Linked DNA regions of Drosophila melanogaster. The protein of the gene in region 1 interacts with the protein of each later gene in a biochemical or structural test. Each region holds a gene or a part of one and is shown in the gene's direction. Other genes may lie near its edges.

The links.
Region 2: the proteins of eIF4G1 (region 1) and eIF4E7 form a complex in vitro, tested with the Drosophila melanogaster proteins (one study listed by BioGRID).
Region 3: the proteins of eIF4G1 (region 1) and eIF4E5 form a complex in vitro, tested with the Drosophila melanogaster proteins (one study listed by BioGRID).

The regions. Positions count from the first base shown.
Region 1 is NC_004353.4:927,031-932,905, reverse strand, and holds the start of eIF4G1 (eukaryotic translation initiation factor 4G1), read left to right. Parts: upstream 1-2,190; 5' UTR 2,191-2,394; exon of another isoform or gene 2,395-2,624; intron 2,625-2,774; 5' UTR 2,775-2,826; intron 2,827-2,882; 5' UTR 2,883-3,006; coding exon 3,007-3,084; intron 3,085-4,754; coding exon 4,755-5,513; intron 5,514-5,875.
Region 2 is NC_004354.4:1,157,298-1,164,749, reverse strand, and holds eIF4E7 (eukaryotic translation initiation factor 4E7), read left to right. Parts: upstream 1-2,360; 5' UTR 2,361-2,464; intron 2,465-4,617; 5' UTR 4,618-4,644; coding exon 4,645-5,934; 3' UTR 5,935-6,151; downstream 6,152-7,452.
Region 3 is NT_037436.4:7,892,086-7,896,828, forward strand, and holds eIF4E5 (eukaryotic translation initiation factor 4E5), read left to right. Parts: upstream 1-2,794; 5' UTR 2,795-2,953; coding exon 2,954-3,303; intron 3,304-3,360; coding exon 3,361-3,548; intron 3,549-3,601; coding exon 3,602-3,762; 3' UTR 3,763-3,924; downstream 3,925-4,743. Other genes in the region: CG32365 (uncharacterized protein), read left to right, coding at 1,150-1,487, 1,560-2,409; pbl (pebble), read right to left, coding at 4,639-4,743.

The DNA.
Region 1 (5,875 bases):
CCTTATTCCAGTACACTACGTTAATTTAATTTACCGTCCCTAGCTAACCGTAGAACCAAAGACACTAGAATAACAAGATGCGTAACGCCATACGATTTTTTGGCACACGATTTTTTCGCCGTGGCTCTAGAGGTGGCTCCAGGCTCTCTCGAATTTTTGTTAGAGAGCGAGAGAGCGGAGAGTGCTACAGCGAACAGCTCTTTTCATCGCATAAAGTGATAGCAGACAACTGTATGTGTGCACACGTATGCTCGCTCATGCATTGTAAATTTCACAAAATATGCCCTTCACCTTAGAAGTTCTTTGACTTTAAATCTATATTATTTTTGATCAATTGGCACCATGCGAAAAATTCTTGTTTTGCATTGCCTTAACGTTATTATTATATGAAAATAGATTAGAAATAGCCAAATCTATGTACATATTATCACAAAAATAAATTTCAAAAATGACTTTATATAAGAATATTTGTCATTAGAGTATTCATCTTGCGGCGTGTGAAAAATTAATAAGGCAATGATTGTTGAGTGCTTGTGTCCGTACTTCGTGCTTCAAGATATGAACAAAGCAAAGACACTAGAATAATTCTAGTGTCTTTGATATGACTTTTGCAATAAACAGTTATCATATTTAATTATTTACTATATTTATTATGTCATTTGACTTTATATGATGTAACATTAACATTAAAAGTGTTTAAAAAAAAAAATATTTCGCTTTCTTAAAAAATTGTCAGATGAGAGACAAATTAGAATTAAACATAAATATAAATGTGTAAACGGTAGCTAATTCGAGCGGCGATTTTAACAAACAAATTTAAAAAGCTTTAAAATGATAATAGTCAGTTAAAAATTATTTTATTTTATCATATTGCTACGAAATTGGCAAAAACTACCCTAATATGTACAATGTAAATTCGTTTTTTCGATCAGAATTGATTTCGGTCCGAAAATCGTCTTCTAGCACAACACGCACACATATATGCGTTCTCGTCTCTTGTTTTTACTCACACAAGCAAGCAAATTCTATTTTTAGATTTCTTATGCTCTCAGCGGGAGCGAGCGGAAAGAGAGCAATTTTGGCCGTCACTAAAAAATTGGCTGCATAGTGCCAAACCAATGTATGGCCGCTACGCATCTTGTTATTCTAGTGTCTTTGGTAGAACTATGCTTGGAACAGTCTTTATTTGTAAGCTTATTCGTGGGGATGTTAAGAGTTCTGACTTGATTAGTCGGCTTAACTTCTCAGTTCGAAGTAGTTCTCAGTAGTAGTTCTCAGTTCCTTATTTCAGTTCTCAGTTCCTTATTTTAAATCATTGTAGATCTAACTATGAGTTGCGTGACCCTTACAGAGTATTATGTTCTGATTATAATAGACTTTATCCTAATATCTGTAATCTTGACTCTCTGCCGCTCACAAAGCAATTGATTTTACCTTTTTTTATTTTATGATTAGATCCTACTAACAGTAATATTTAATATAGTTATTTTATATTATATTCATTTCCTCGATCCTGTTCTCTTTTTTATATCGCGTCTATCCTCTCGCTAATCGAGGCGTACGATACACGGCAGCGCCCCTCGTTCGGTTGGTCGGGAGGTGTCGCCGTTGGACCCGTGCCAAAAAAAAAAAATATATAATAATAATATAAAATAATTGGGTCTGAATACGGATTATTTTTGTTTTGATTTAAATTCTTTTATTTATCGATATTTTGATGTAATATAGAATCGTTTTTTACCAATTTCTTTATTGTCATATGTATTTTAGTCAGTGTGAAAGGGTCTTATTTTGGCCATAATTAACTAATTATATTTTACGTTCAAGAAACCCTAATTACGATGAAATTAACATTTTGTTTTAAAGTTGCCCATATGTTGTATTCTTAGATATAATGATCTATTTAGCCATGTTGCGGAAAGGGCTCATTATCAGGAATTGAACGCTGGCATAGCATGTACAATCATTATTATAATTTTGGCAAACCTCAATAGAATAAACGTATTATGAAGTAGTTTTAGTAAATAATTAACATTGAAATATGATTTTTTTTTTATTTTTAAAAACTTATGGTTAGCAAAAAATTAAATTATTAATGATGAAGCGTTTAAAAATGTGACCTAACTATCGTTGATAATGATATTCTTCAGTTATCACTATTTCTTGTGTGCTATCGATGTTTCAAATAATAAATGCAACTCTGTTCGTATGAACAGAACACATTGCATGTGGAAATTATTAAAAAATAGTTTTTGAATGTAAAGATAAAGCTGGAATTACTGCTTCATTTTTATAAATAAATACATTTTTAAAATACACTTAAAGTGGAATTCTTAACATTTGTATTTTTTGTACATAATCACGTCGGATAGGCACATACAAACATTTGCTCAGGTAAATTGATGGTTAATAATGAGCACTGGGCAACAAATATTACATGATACTTTGCAAGTTTACTGTGCACAGTGAAGGGAAAAAAGATTTTACCACTAACATTCTGAAATGTGTCTTAACTTTTTAAAAATGATGTAAACGATGGAATTCGTGGCACGTTTTCACCATATGCACCATTGTGATTGTGAGAACGAAATCTCCAAAGTCACAACGGCAACGTCGGCAAATAAGTAAGGCTCCAGGATGGATTGGCAAATGTTTAATAGAAATTATCTCTGGGCTTCAGCTCTAGACTTAATAAATTACAAAATGTCTACTTTATATTTTTGAAACATTTGGGTGAAATCTTTTGTGATATTTAATGATTTTATACGTGTCAGTTCTTTTAATTTCAGAGACCTCTCTGGTAGCTGTATATCAATATATTTCCAGGTAAAATATGCAGAACTGAAACGTGGACAATTAATATTCATTAATATTCATTAAAGAATCAAATGATTGAATGACGTCGTATTTGTGGGTCCAAAATCACCACAGAAATCGTCTATGAAACGGTAAATCTAACCGTTTGGCGATTTCCTACAGAGCTAACTCTAGGAATACACATACGTAATGCAACAGGCTATACCAACTTTACCAACACAATCAGATATAGATAAAGCCATGCAGCCCCATTCAGCACAAAATATGGTAAGTCGATATAAAAATAACATCTCCAAAATTATTTACATATATACATTTTGACATTATTTGCTGTATTACTTTCCTTGCAATTGTTTTAAATTAGTTCGTTAAATAAATATGTTTTCCTAGTTCCGAAAAGAGCTAAAACCTATTTTTTATAAGTTTGCCTGCTGTAGTCAATGTAAACAATCTATTAAGATAGTATCACACTTCTCGTACAATAACAGCAAAGTTTAAAAAGAAAATGCTATTTTTGTGGAATTTTTTTATATGTTTGTTTTATAAATATTGCGGTTTGTATAAAAGGTATATAATTCAATTAAAAAATTTATAAAATATATGTTTGCGATTACAATTATTTAAGTTACTTACTAAATGAATTAAAAAATTAAAAATTTTTTTAACGAACTTGATTGAATACTAATAATTGTTCTAGTCCTGTAAAGCTACATAATTCATAAATGAAGCTCTTCCGGGCATGGTATGAAGTACTTTATTTAAAACCTAAACTATAAAAAACCGCGTTTTTCCAAACATACATAAATCATATAGTTTTTATCGGTAAAAATATTAATTAAAAAAATTTTTATTTCAACGGTGGCTCCAAAAATGGATGCTGAATCTGGTTTGTTGGTAACTGGCAGACACTCAGCAACGTAATTTTAAAGCTAAACTCAAAACGCATTGTGATTAATCTATCCAAGGGAAAAAAAATATTCGAAATGTATTTTATTATATTGATTTAAAGGATTAATGATTTCACATATCCAAGTCACAGAATCAGTCCATATATAATAGTCCCTAATATAATAGTTTCGTTGTTTTTATTCATAAAATGTCAACTTGATATTGTATTTTATAGTGATGTCCTTTTGAAGGGCTTAATGATATAAGGCATATATTTAAATCGCAGTAAAAGAGATATTTGGGACCATATAAATTATATATATATTCTTTATCAGTATCAGCAGCCGAGTAAAATAAATATAAAATAGTCCAGAAGATAATAGCTTCATACTTTTTATTTCTGAATGACAACTTGATATACACCGTTTTTTGACCGCGTATAACTTTGGTTTTAAGGCTAATTGTCAACATGCCGGCGACGACTAAGGAGCAACAGTCGGAAAATTAAATGAAGCTATAACAAAATAAATAATAGTTTAATTGTTTTTAATCATTTAGTGTTCTTATTTTGTACGCACAACTTTTTTTTTATTAATTAATTAATCTTGTAATCTATCATTTGAACTGTGTTAGACAGCTAAATCCCATAAACATTATTTGTCCATAGGGGACGTAGGACAAAAACTCTAAACCCTAATAAAATTATCAAACCCAATGCATGTTTTATATATATTTGTTAATTCTGGATTTATTTATCACAAAATTTGAGGCTGAAAAGTATTAAAAAATCTGCATAAGTATAATATTCAAATTTCACAGTGCAGAAGTGTAATACTACTCAAAATTCCGATTCTTGATTTCTCAGTTTCATTTTATTTTTAAATGGGTTTGTTTTGGTTTTTTTAATACTTTGTTTAAGTGCAATAAAGTAGGATTAACCAATTATCTAATAGTTTTTATAACTTATATATTCGGCAACATTTTTTTTTAATCATTGTTAAATCAATTTTACAGTCCGAAAATGTTCCCACTCTTGTGATCTGTTGTAGATTTTGCCAGCCAATAAAAAGACCAAAAAGTATGATCAACAGGTGCCAACTTCAAAGCCACAATCTCTTCATCAGCCTCTTCAACCGCAGCATAGCCATCCCACTGCTCAGCCTCAGTTTCAGATAAATAAGGCATACAATGTGGTCTCCATTCTTAAGGCATCAGCGCAGATCGCTCAACAGTCCCCACACTTGACGAATCAGCAGCATCCACCAATCCATCACCCACAGCAAACACAGCAGCATCAACAAAGCTATACAAACGTTGTAAATAGAAGCTTATCTGCGTCTGAACCAGTTAGAGCCCAGTCATCGGTTATCTGTAACGGTTCAAGCATATTGACAGTAAATAGTAGACAACTGAATTCGGGTGATATGAATTCGACTGCCATTTATAACATATCCAGTTACCGAAAATTAACTGGAAGTCTAGATGGAAATGTTTGCTTTCTAAATGTACAGGACATTAAACAAAATGGCAACATCAGTGGGTCAGTAGTATCAAATAAGTCCATCGTCGGAGTCGGAAGTGAAAAAAGTTCTTGTACTGGAGTCAGTATTAACAACCAAATAGTATTGCCTAATGCGCAAATAGGAACATCTATGGGAATAGCTGGAACAACTACAGCAGGCACAAGCTACATGCACGAAAAGAATATCGTTGGCGTTAGCGTCAATTGTGTTAATACTAGTAAAAAGTATGATTTCAATAACAGTAGTTTGTTATCAAATAATAGTTACCCGGCATCTACAGCAGAGGTAAACCTTGCAAATTCTGTGACTTTAGGAAGAGATTCATTTTAAATAATTCTTAACTTCATTTCACCTCCCTTTTTTTTAATAATTAGTTTTTAAATACTTTAGGTCCCAAAATTTATTAAATATCAATACGATTTTTTATTTAATGAGCAGTTTTTCTTATAATGTGAATATATGTATACTTTTATATTGTACTCACAGTGCCTAATGTAATGTAAAGAAACCAAGAAACCCGCTATAGTCGAGTTCCTTGACTAGCTAGTTGGAGGCGAAAAAAATGGGGAAGAAAAAATATAGAAATACAAATCATTTAAACATTTTGGAAGATTGGGGGCAGCCTTTTGCGCTTTAAGGGCGTTAGG
Region 2 (7,452 bases), on another chromosome or scaffold:
TCCACGGCGATGGCATCTTTTGACACTGTTGAGAACCTTGTGAAAGAAACTGCTACTGCTGCTTCTGCCTGCGGCTGTTGTGGCAACATCATCATCATTCATTTGCGCCCAGGTGCGTTTTCGTGTGCACTCAGTATTTTGCCGCTTACTTGTACTCGTATTTGGGTTTTGGCATGGGACTGGGCTGGGGTTCCCGGTGTCTATTGCACACCTTGTGCCAACTTTCTGCGGATCCTTGCAACGAAGCCACACGTGAGTCGCCCTATTCTTGTTTGTTATTCTTAAAACTTGCGCCTGATTCCGCTTGGCTGGTTTTGGTGTCTGCTTGAGTTTTAGTTGCTGTCTGCATTTCGTTTTTGGTTTCCGGTCCTGTCGCCTGTTTTTGGACGCATTTCCTGGTCGATGTGTTGCTCTACCTATTAAACTTGGGTATACGTAGAAATAGTGAATTTCTACTTGTAATTTTTTCAGCTTAGGTTGAATGTGTCCCTTAGCTCAATAATTAGCAAACTTCTTTAGTGTTTTTGTTTATCTGAACACAGAACACAGTTTGGGGCTTTAGTGTTTTTCCAGTACGACTTTACAAGTTTCCATCGATAAGGTCACAGCTCCAAGTCGACGGATAAAGAAAACATTTCGCCACCAGTTTTGAACAGATGTCGAGGCCGCGGTGACTCTGGCTTTTGACGGTATGTTCCGAATCATTCAAAATTCGATATGTCGGCTAGCTACACACGCCTGTTCCGCGTTTTGTTCGTGATAATTTTCATCAAGTTACTCCTCCTTTTGGGACTCCTTTTGGACAGCTACGATGGTGCTGCCCGGCTTCAGAGGCGGTCGAATGTGGATATATTTGATGAACTACTCGTAGATCGGAGGCAAAGTAAGAAAAACTTCCAATTAGGAAAAGCTTTCGCTGGGGTCAGAGTGTATTAAAAGTGTGTCAATATCAGAATGTACATTTAAGGAGCCCACCTACCATTTTAGTGCCTTCTTGGGAGCAGCGATTGGAATGGATCCGCGAGGAAATGCATTCGTTTCCGCTGAAAGAGCTCCTGGCCAGAAAAAACAGACGATTGCCTTCAGTGAAGTGCGGCCCCGATATGATGAACATTGATTTTCATTGATAGCCCTCTGCCAGGCTATTGATGGCAATAGTCCCATCCACAGATCCCAAGTTCGTGGTATGTGTGAAGGCGAGGGATTTTCCAAAAACTGAGGCTTATTATATGCACCGCAAGTGCAAGTGCGTGTAACGCTGTATGCATGTATTTATGGCTTTTAAGCTGTGCCAAAGTTATTTAAATTACTGATATCTGGCTTCTTTGTGGGTTTATCATGTGATTATTTGGGCAAGCAATAAAAGAAAATGCTGTATTTTGGCACAATATTCTTCATGATTCCGTCTATGAGTTGCCTACAACAGCTGTTAAGTTTCCACGGTTGTCTGTTAAGTTGCCTGTCCCTCTGTTGCTCGATCGAGCAGGTCCTGGGAAATCCTTGTCGTTTGCTTCAGTCGGCCACGAACTGTTGGTCGGGTTGGAGGTGGACTCACCGACGCCACAACCGCCCTCTGATTGCCTTTTTGATGCATTGGGATGTTTGTATTTGATGTGTTGCTTTTTTGCGTAATGCAACTGCTAACGACTCTTTAAATATTTTACACGATTTAGCATTTCATAATGATAATACCCGCAATCCGCTTGCGGGGGGCATGCGTTTATGGTTCAATTTCAGTTTATGCATTCTCATAATGCTTGATGATTTCAGAATGCCGTGTTTGCATTTCAACTCCAAATGACTTTTTCAGAGCGATTCATTCGCTGGCAAAATGCAAAAATGCACATAGAATTTAATTTAATTTGCGCACACTCATGCACCATTTATCCACTTCTAATTAATTGCATTGCACAAGAACACAAAACGCAAAACATTTGAATGCGAATGTCTGAACGGACATGAACAAATATACAAATGTGAACAAAAACACGCTCAGAGCTAACTGAACTGAACTGAACAGGGCAAAAAGCGACACAAGATGAAAATATTCATTATTATTTGGCCAAATTGCGAATTAATGATATGAGCAAACAGGCAGGCCATAGTGTTGTTGGCATGCAAATTATGGCAGCGCGCAAAAACAAAAGCAATGCAATTTTTTAATTAAATGCTTTAGCTGTAATCCAGGAGCGCTTAGTGGAGTTCGGATTAGGCCATATACTCGCGAATCCGATCCCAGTGATGGGAAAAAATGCAGAATAGTACCGAAGTGGGACCGGACTTTTGTTACCAAAAGTCATTTTTCAGAGCAAAGTAAGTCTAGAAATATAAATCAGTTTTGGACGACACTTCGTTGTGAGAACAACCGGGTTTTAGTCAAATTTTATTTACAAAACCATTGCGATTTATTTGTTGATATATTTTGATTGACCTAAGCGGTATTCGGATATTCGCAGTGCGTTAGGTAAGTTGTGTAGACCCAATTCGTAGTGATTAATTATGGCATTAGAACTGTTCGTTGGGTTTCTCCTCCTTCGTCATCTTCGTTTACAAATAAGGTAGTGTGTTCCTTGTCGTATGTAGTATGTCTTGTCTGTCGGTCAGCTTAGATTTCATTGGCTGCCGCCGATTACTGGGAATCCCCGAAAGTATGCAAAAAGTTGGGCTAGAGCAATTGAGCGGATTGACGGTAGTGGGGATGGAGCTACCCCTGCTTAACCCCATCACCCGTCTAGTGCAACCGGCATACAAGAATACGAGGAACAAAGTTCAAACTAGCCAAACAAAACAAAACAGAACAGAGCTGAACTAAACTAAACAAAACAAAACAAAACAGAGCTAAACAAAACACACACAACGCAACAGGGAGCTGCTCATGTTTTTTGTTAATTAAAATTGGCATAGCAGCCGAGGGGAAAGGCAAGGACTGGGAACAACATTTTTGCATTTTCATCAGTTTTTCGAGGCAGCTAGCAGTCAGCAGCCGGCATTTGAACATTTCAACATTTCGGCATTTCAGCCAGCGACGATGGCTCACAGGTCATAGGTCACAGAAGGCGAGCACAGATGCCAATGTAGAGTAGTCCACCTTCCTTCAACTTCCTTCCCACTTCCAACGTTCAACTGAATGAGTGCCACTTCCTCGCTGTGTGCATATTTACCTTTAGAACATTTACTTTTTCAACAGACGACAACCGACCCGTTGAGGGCGAGTCCTCGATTTATGTGCTGCCAATAAATTTGCCCAACACTTTGGCCCCGTCTAATGCAATATTTACATCGCATCGGGCCAAATAAAAAATTGCATCGATAGGAACTGAGAAGGGCGAAACTGCTTTGCGGGAACTGAGAGAAATCCAAGGTGCCTTCTATTGTGGCTTTCGACTACTCCCATAAGTAAATTATTCATTGAAATGAATCTAGATCGCCAAAGTACAGTGACATAAAGATTCAAAAGCAGTTCATTACATGCTATAATCTAAACTACTGTCGCGATAAAATTTAGTTGATCTCTGTAATACTTTCGCTAAGTGCACCCGCACGTCTTGTAGTTTCTGTTTCTGTTTTGGCCCTGCTTTTCATTTTGATGTCATTTAAGTTAAAAGAGGAACATTTGGAAATGTCGGGTATGAGATCCCTAAACGGCTTTTAAGAAGGAAAACCTCCTGCAATGTGTTGCCTTTGTTGTTTCCCTAATTTGTATGGCAGAAGTGAAAGGAGATTCCCATATCTGTACAGTTCTTAGCCCATGCCAAGTGATACAAATGTACATATGAAGTCCATGGTTAAGGCACAGATATTCCATTAAAACAAAATCGGGTCAAATAAAATGGCCATAAACTGCTTGCCAAAAGCGTGAAAGCACAACACTCGCTCAAAGTCCAAGTCCGCTCAAACATTTGCCACGCCTTGGATTCTGTTTCTGATTCCAATTTCTGATTGATTTTTTCTCACTCATAAATTCGAGTCCTTTTGACCCCATTTTAACTTATGGCAGCCAGAGTCAAATCAAAGTTTGTTCTCCTGGTGGTTTACTTTTGTGATGCCATTACATAAAGATTCCTTCGTCCGCTGCATATCGTAAATGTAGAGAATTTTTAATGATTTTAAAAGATGCGTAAATACCAAGGCATCGTAATCTTTTCTATCGGAGATTTTGGCGTGTGAAAAACGCTTTTACTCGGTTATTTCCAAGGGGCAAGCACAACTTGACCCAGCTAATAAGAAATGCGTGCTGTGTTACCTTACACCCGTGTGTTTGGGGTTTTGCACCCACTCAAATCATTCAGTTCGGGGGGTGTGTAAATATTTGTTGCTAAAGTTGCCAACTTCTGCACACGTCCCTTGGTCTTGGTCAGTTTTTCCTTTCGTGCTTCCAAAGAAGAAATTTCCAGCTCACGTCTTAGAGAAAAGGGGCATGTTGGCTTGTTTGCCTCATTAGTCGGAAGTTCAGAAAGAGCGTTTGGCTTGGCTTTGTGGATTCATCATATATATAATTGTATAGGAAGCTACGAAAATGAAAGATCCCAAAAATCGCCATTATATTAACCCTTTTTTTTGTTAGATTTGTTTGTTTAAACATAGCGCTAACCTCGCCATTTCCGTATAACTCTACAGCCGTTGCTGACCTCGAACAAAGCCGCCATGCTTCCCAACAGCTTTTACAGGATGAGGGACTTTGCCAATCCGAGAACAATGTTTAAAAGCTGTGCGAACAACAATGAATATCCCACACAAGGTCCCCAAAAAGTGGAGTCACCAACTGATGTTACCCAGCCTGCTGCAGCTCCTCAATCCACTGAAGATACTCAACCAGAAAAGACCCAAGAACCGATGAATGATCCAAACAAAACGTCGCCATCAGAGCCCCAAAAACGTGGCAAGGGGAACCGGAAGGGCAAGAAGAATCAAAAGAATGCGCCACGCACTCCCAGTCAGACGAGCAAGAGCAGTCGAAGCAACAATCCGGGCAAAGATGGAAAGTCGACGGGAAATGATGACAATGAGAAGGGTAAAGGCCAAGGAAAACAGATGGTCCAGCAGAAAGAAAATAGCCCTGAACAGGAGCAGTCGACTAGTGCACAATATAGGAAGAATGTGCTCGACAAGGATCTGCAGGACAAGAAGCTAATCGAAAAGAATATGCAGGGAAAGATAATCACACAAGAAAATCTTTTAGGGCAGAAGGTCCTAATGCGGTTATCCGAGCAGAAGCTTTTGAGCTTGAGGCTCGAGCCCAGGATTAAACAGAACACATGTCCACCGGCCAAAAAAGAAGATGCGGTGGTCGCTTTTGACAATTCACTAGAATTTCTGTCACTGAACAATAAATGTGATGATGATCTGACCATCGCGGCGGAGAACGCCGAACTTTTGGAGGTCGAGGATCCTCAACATCCACTCAACAACTGCTGGACTCTGTGGTATCTAGAGAACGATCGAAATAAAAGTTGGGAAGAAATGCTGCACAAGGTTACAAGCTTCGATACCGTGGAGAAGTTTTGGAGCCTGATCACTCACATCAAGCCCCCATCCGAGCTTATGCTGGGCAGTGACTACTCCCTGTTCAAGAAGGGCATTCGACCCATGTGGGAGGATGAGGCCAATGTCAATGGAGGACGCTGGGTCATCAACTTGACCAAGAGCGCCAAGATGGCTCTGGACAGTTTCTGGATGGACGCCATGCTCTGTCTGATTGGAGAGGCCTGTAAGCACTCGGACGATCTTTGTGGCGTTGTGGTCAATATTCGCGGAAAGTCGAACAAGATCTCTATTTGGAACGCTGACGGGGGAAATCAGACTACAGTCCTTGAAATTGGACGCATTTTACGCAAGGTTCTACGCATGGACAACATATACGTGCTGGAGTATCAGTTGCACAAGGACTCCAAGGATAAACTGGGATCAACTGTGAAGAGAATATACACTGTATAGGTTCTCATCAGACAATTGCGAATCGAAACATTTTCAGTATTTTCGGTATTTTTTCACAAGAACTTGAAATGTCAAGCAGGTGTGATCAGCCATCGATCGATAGTTAGTTGGGTTCCAAATCTCTAGTCAAACCATCCGTACACGTACACGTTGTACATAAAAATTTGAATGTTGCTCCTATAGAGCGACGAAATAAATACATAACTATTTGGTCAAGAAGTTGTTTGTTTTAAAGTGTGAAATTGGAGAGTGTTGGAGAGAGACTGCGAAATGTTTCTAACTATGCACCTTCTTTACTAATTTAACCCGATTCCAAGAACATGCAACATGGTTTGTCTCGATTCCTGAGTTCCAATCGGTGTATTGGATGTTCTTTGTCTGCTCCACTGCTAACCATTGGGGCGGGCATTCAGAAGTTGGTTGCTAGCTTTTTGTTCGCTTTCACATCGGTCAGCGGACATGGGACATTTGGACATTGGACATTGGCCGTTGGACTTATTTGGCGCACGGCGTCACACAACTTGGCCGTGCTCAATTGTTTGATTTATTGGCATTTATTGGCAGTTGGCATTTTATTGTGACTGCTTTGGGTGACCACGTAAGGGGAGCCAATGATGTTGGAGTGGAGGCAGGTGCGTTCTCCTGGCACTGAATTCCTTTTGTTGCTGTTCTTGGCCACTTTTCCATTTGACGGGCTTTAATGTGCTTAATGTATTTTCTGTGCCTTGCTGTGACCATTTTCCTACCTTCTAATTTCTTCCTGAGCTTTTTTTAGCCACTCTTGCGAGGATTTACTATTTACCAAATATTCTGGTGACTCCACGAAAAAGGTCAAGGCCCAGGTGATTTGGCCCAAGTGCGCACCATAAAAGCGAGCTCACCTATATTTCGCCATTGATTTATGGCACTTAATTTCATTCCATTGTGCCAACGAGCCAGAGCCATTGATTAAACACCTTAACGATTTTCTATGGCCACCAACCGTTGTAGTTGGGCACCCACTTATTAGAGATGGAAAACCGAGGAAAGCGAAAGCGAGAAGCCATTGTATCGATTTGGTTTGCGATCCCAAACGGTGGGGGATGGTGGGTAAGGGGGCTTACGGACTAGTCCGATGTTTAACAATGGTATTGGCAATAAACCGAAACGGAAAATCTGTAACATATATGTATGCTGAACAGGAGCCGAAACCAAGCCGCCCACTTCACCCAGAACAATTGCCAAAAAGTCCTTTCTCTTCTGTCCTATAAATAAAAAAATTTGAAGTGTCTGGCACTCGCACACCGACTTGGGATTGCTCTAAAATTTAAGTATTCTATGTATTCTCGCGCAAAACTAGAACCAAAATCGGCTTCACTGGTAGCATGTATCTCAAATATCAGTAGTCAAATGAGAGCTTTGCCTATACTAGTTGAATTTCGAACGTTGCGCTCACCTATGTGCAGCGGACGAGTTCCTCCTCCAATCGGCCCCAAAAATAAGATAGAAACGAAAATGTTCCTTTAGGCTGCCAACTAC
Region 3 (4,743 bases), on another chromosome or scaffold:
GTTCAATGGGAAGCTGCTGGCAGGCCAAGCGAGTCCGAATCGGAATCGGAAAAATTCGTACCCGAATCCTCTCAGCTCCAATTGCTCGACGATGGCTAAAAACACTTTGGGCATTAATGAAATTAAACAAAGCATAACAAAATCGAAATCAAATACAGCAGCAGCAGCAGCAGCAGTGCGCGCCGGCAACAATTTCCACATCATTTTCAAATAAATCTCAGACACACGAAAACAATTCGTAATTCGAATGAAAACCTCTGGCGAACACGCAGTAGGAAAACCTCCGAAAACGGAAAAACGTCCAATGAAAAATTAGCAACAATTTCCAAGCGTTGCAATAGCAATAGCAACGACTGCATCGCCAACTTACATAATCAGCCAGACACCAACTATTTTGGCATCGTGTGAAGCCTCCCCAAAAAACCAGCAGATATACACACATATATATGTACATATAAACTGCATGCCCACCCGTTTTGGCCAAATTTCAAATGGCCCGGGAGGTGGGCGTGTGCCTGCCTGCCAGGTGATGGCAATCGGCAATCTTAACGCCTTTTTGAGGTCTCTGCCAATTTGGCAAGCGCCATAGACTCGAATGGCATTTGATAATTAGACAATTTGGCCCACAGAAGTTAACCAAAAGCGACATTCCCCCCCAATCAACTTGGCCAATGATGCTGATATGGCCCAAAGACCCACAGCACAATGAAGTAGAGAAATGCGCGCAGAGTAAAGGGGCGCGATAAAAAATCAAGTGAAAGTTTTTATAGGCTGATGATGATGCTGATGCCGATGCTGCTGCTCTACAAATGTTTGCTGCCAAGCAAAATCATTTACAATTAACATAAATAATAAATTAAAGTCATCGGTTCAAATGCATTATCAATGTGTCAAAGCAATGACCTGGCACATTGGAGCAAAGCTGTAAGTTTTGGAGGGGAAATACAAGCTGAGTTAGCCGGAGAAAGGTCGATTGAATGAGATTTACATGAAGAGCTGAAAGCTCACCTAAAATATGGGCCACACGTTTCTAAAGTTACATTCCCAAAGAAAGATACAATATCTATCTAATCTATCTTCATTATGCGTAAAAACTACCACTTATCAATCCCTAAGTATTCTAAATCACTTTATAATCCTAAATTTCAGACCGAAACCAATTGCGAGATGTACCGAGCGGTGATGGAGGAGGTGGCCCGCTTCTTTGAGCGCTACCAGTTGCAGCAACAACTCCAGCAGACCCAACGCAATGGAGAGCAGATTGCCCGCTCCAAGAGTCTGCATCATGTCCACGGAGTGGGCAACACCTCCCTGCAGAGCGATGCTCGGGATGATGACGCCTCCAGCGGCGGATCAGCTTCATATCTACGCGCCCGGAGCAGCACCAATTTGATGTTGAATAAATCAATGCATGCCATGGACGAGGAGCACAATTACGAGACGATTGCACCAGCTGGAAGCTATAATGCCTTCAAGGATTTTACATGGTAAGGGGAGATCAATAGCAGTGCTAATAATTTTCAAACAATTAATAACGAAATGTCTTCTCTCTGCCAAAGGCGTCGATCCCCGAAGAAGTCTGGAGGCAGTGGCGGTTGCAAGTCACGTCTATCGGCTCCTGAGGCAGCCGAGGAAAAGCTGAATCAGGAGGCCTTTCGTTTGGCCAGAACCATAAGGAATCTTTTGCACACCTCGGAACAGCAACCAGATCTCACGCAGCCGCGCCACTCGCTCGCTTCCATTTCATCGCTGCCCTCGGGAAATCACCGCCTATGCAAGGGGAAAACCAGTTCGGTGATGACACTACTGACGCCACCATTGCACAATTCCACCAGTATCATGAGTGCCACACTGGAGACTCCATCACCGGGCGGGAAATCAAATGCGGAACTCATCTTTCTGCGGGCCAACAACATGCGCGACTCGAGGCTATCGTTGCGCAGCTCCACCGACAGTTCCGTGCATTCCACCATCTCGTCGACGGCATCCTCCTCCTCGAAAGTGGAAACGGATGAGGAGACGCAGACACAGACCACCGCCAGCAACACAGCCATCAGCAATAGCAATAACAAAACCACCAGCAATAAGCAGAGCGGTTCCAGTACCGAGGATGAGAGTGGCTTCAGTTCGATTAGCTCCTTTCACGATGTCGGCTTGCCCCTGAGTTCCACCTTGATGAATGGAAACCAGCGACGCCTGTCCATGTCCTCGGACAGCAGGAACTCCACACTAAAGTCCGGATTAAATATGGTGGGGCTGCCCATGCAAAATCAGACTCAAGTTCAAGTACAGGTTCAAGCTCAGATATCAACCGCTCCATCGCCCTCGAAAACCTATCGCAATGCGAATCGCTACCAGCGCTTCTCCACTTTGTCCAACGAGGATGCAGCCGCTGTTTTATGGGTCTAGACGGGTGGATGATTCAAAACCAGCCTTGAGATAATTTATTAACGTATTTCTAAAAGAATTGAGAATCTTTTCAAATATGGTTACGAAAACCGTGTTTTTTTTTATTTTGAACACCCCGTAGCTGTTTCGATTTGTTTTCTCTAGTGCCTCCGCTTAGTGTTTAATTGACCATTGGAATAGAGTGCATACATTTTCATTTTGTATGTTATTATTTTTTTTTTTAAGGACCAAGCGCGCATTTCTATGTTAACAATATGTAAATTGATTTGTCTTAAGTTTTGCAGTATTTATAAATGAATAAAAATAATTTATATTAAAAGAAAAAACCAGCATAGTATGCTTACACCCAGGTGTCATTGTCATTTCATTTCCTTCTTTTCGACAGGTTTCGTTTAGGTCTAGAAAAATGTGCTAAAGTATTTTTGGTTATTAGTAAGCAATTCCCACTCGAATCGCGACAAAATTCGTTGAGAACACAGCCGTCAGCAAATAAATTAAGGTTACCTGTTCGTATCGAAAAAAAAAAAACAAGTCAACCAACAACATGGCCAGTGCACAAGTGCAAAGTTTTGATATTATGAAGCAGCAGGATCAGCAACATCAGCTGAATAGTATCCATAAGCATCATCATCACCACGAAGGTGTTCCACTGGAGAGCAATAGCCCAGAACCTATCGATGAAGAGATATACCAAGTCGAGTACAAGCATCCTTTGGAGCATGTGTGGACTTTGTGGTATTTGGAAAACGATCGCACCAAGCACTGGAAGGACATGCTAAACGAGATTACCGAGATTGACAGTGTGGAGACCTTCTGGAGCTTGTACCATACCATCAAGACCCCAGCGGAGCTGAAGATTGGATGCGATTACTCCGTGTTCAAGAAGGGCATAAAGTACGAATAAATCATTGTTCATTGAGAGATGCTAACTTAAATCCTCTACTCCCAAAGACCCATGTGGGAGGATGAAGCCAACATCAAGGGTGGTCGCTGGCTGGTCACCGTGAGTAAGAGTGCCAAAGCGGAATTGGATCAAATTTGGCTGGACATTCTACTGCTGATGGTGGGCCAAAATTTTGAATACTCCGACGAGATCTGCGGAGCTGTCATCAATATACGTAACAAGAGCAACAAAATCTGTAAGTTTATCAAATGTGTTCTGCACATTGATAAAAAACTGTATCTATTACAGCGGTTTGGACTGCCAACGGGAGTAACGAAATGGCCATTCTGGAGATCGGCCAGAAGCTGAAGATACTCCTTCATTTGCAATCGCATAGTTTGCAGTATCAACTTCATTCCGATGCAATGTCCAAATTCAATTCGGGCGTCAAATCGGTTTATACACTCTGAAAGCGATTGTTTAGGTCCTCTACGTTAGTATATTTTTATTTTTGTACACCAGATTCGTAAGTGTGGAAGATATGATTGGCTTGGTGTATATGAATATTTACTTGGAATTGCCCCTACAAAATTGTTCTATAGACTAAATTAAAAACCTAATTTTCTATGCGCAACAATTGCATCTTTTCGGGTGAGATTGTGGTAACTGTCGAAGTTTGTGTAATTCGTTGCCTACTTTGCAGCTTCAAAGCTAAGAATAAAAAATGCTTTGATTTAAAAATGTTTTCCTTTAATCATTGTTCATATATTAACTTAAACATCTTCATGCTTTGAACGCCTTACGACTTAGGGTCGTAATTGCCTACTCAAGCAAAATCGTTGAGTTATAATCAATATGGTAAGATAGGGTTTTTAAAAAATTTACTCAGTAAACATTCACAGCTTGTTGCGGTGTGGCGATCATCCGACCGAAAACCATCCGAATCGATCGTTCGGTGCGTGCGTGAATTCGATCCCTAGTCACTGCAATGAGTAGTTGATTACATTTAGCGACGCGACACAATTATACGGGCACGGGAGTACACATATGGAGAACTATTTACAAGTTAATCATGATCAATCGACAGCTCGGGCAAACGCTTCAACATTTGCGAGCCTTCCTATCGACAGGTGCAACTTAACAATACATTTTACAATCTAAACAATATTGGACGCTCGATAATTTGTTTCTGGTTGTGTTGTGAGATTACGAATTCGAAGCTTGTATATGCACTCGGACATGGGCGACCAATGCTCAAGGAATAGCACTGCAAGCGAGTCTCTCCAAAAAGAGACTTCCAAAATGGAATACACAATTTGACTGTGGAGTCATCATCATCATCAGCTCTAAATGCGGCCCACAACGGCCTTGTTTTTCCGCGTGGGTTGCACCGAAAGTGGCGGTACCACTAGCATCTCGGATTGTGTTGACGGCGAACTGCTTCGCATGCT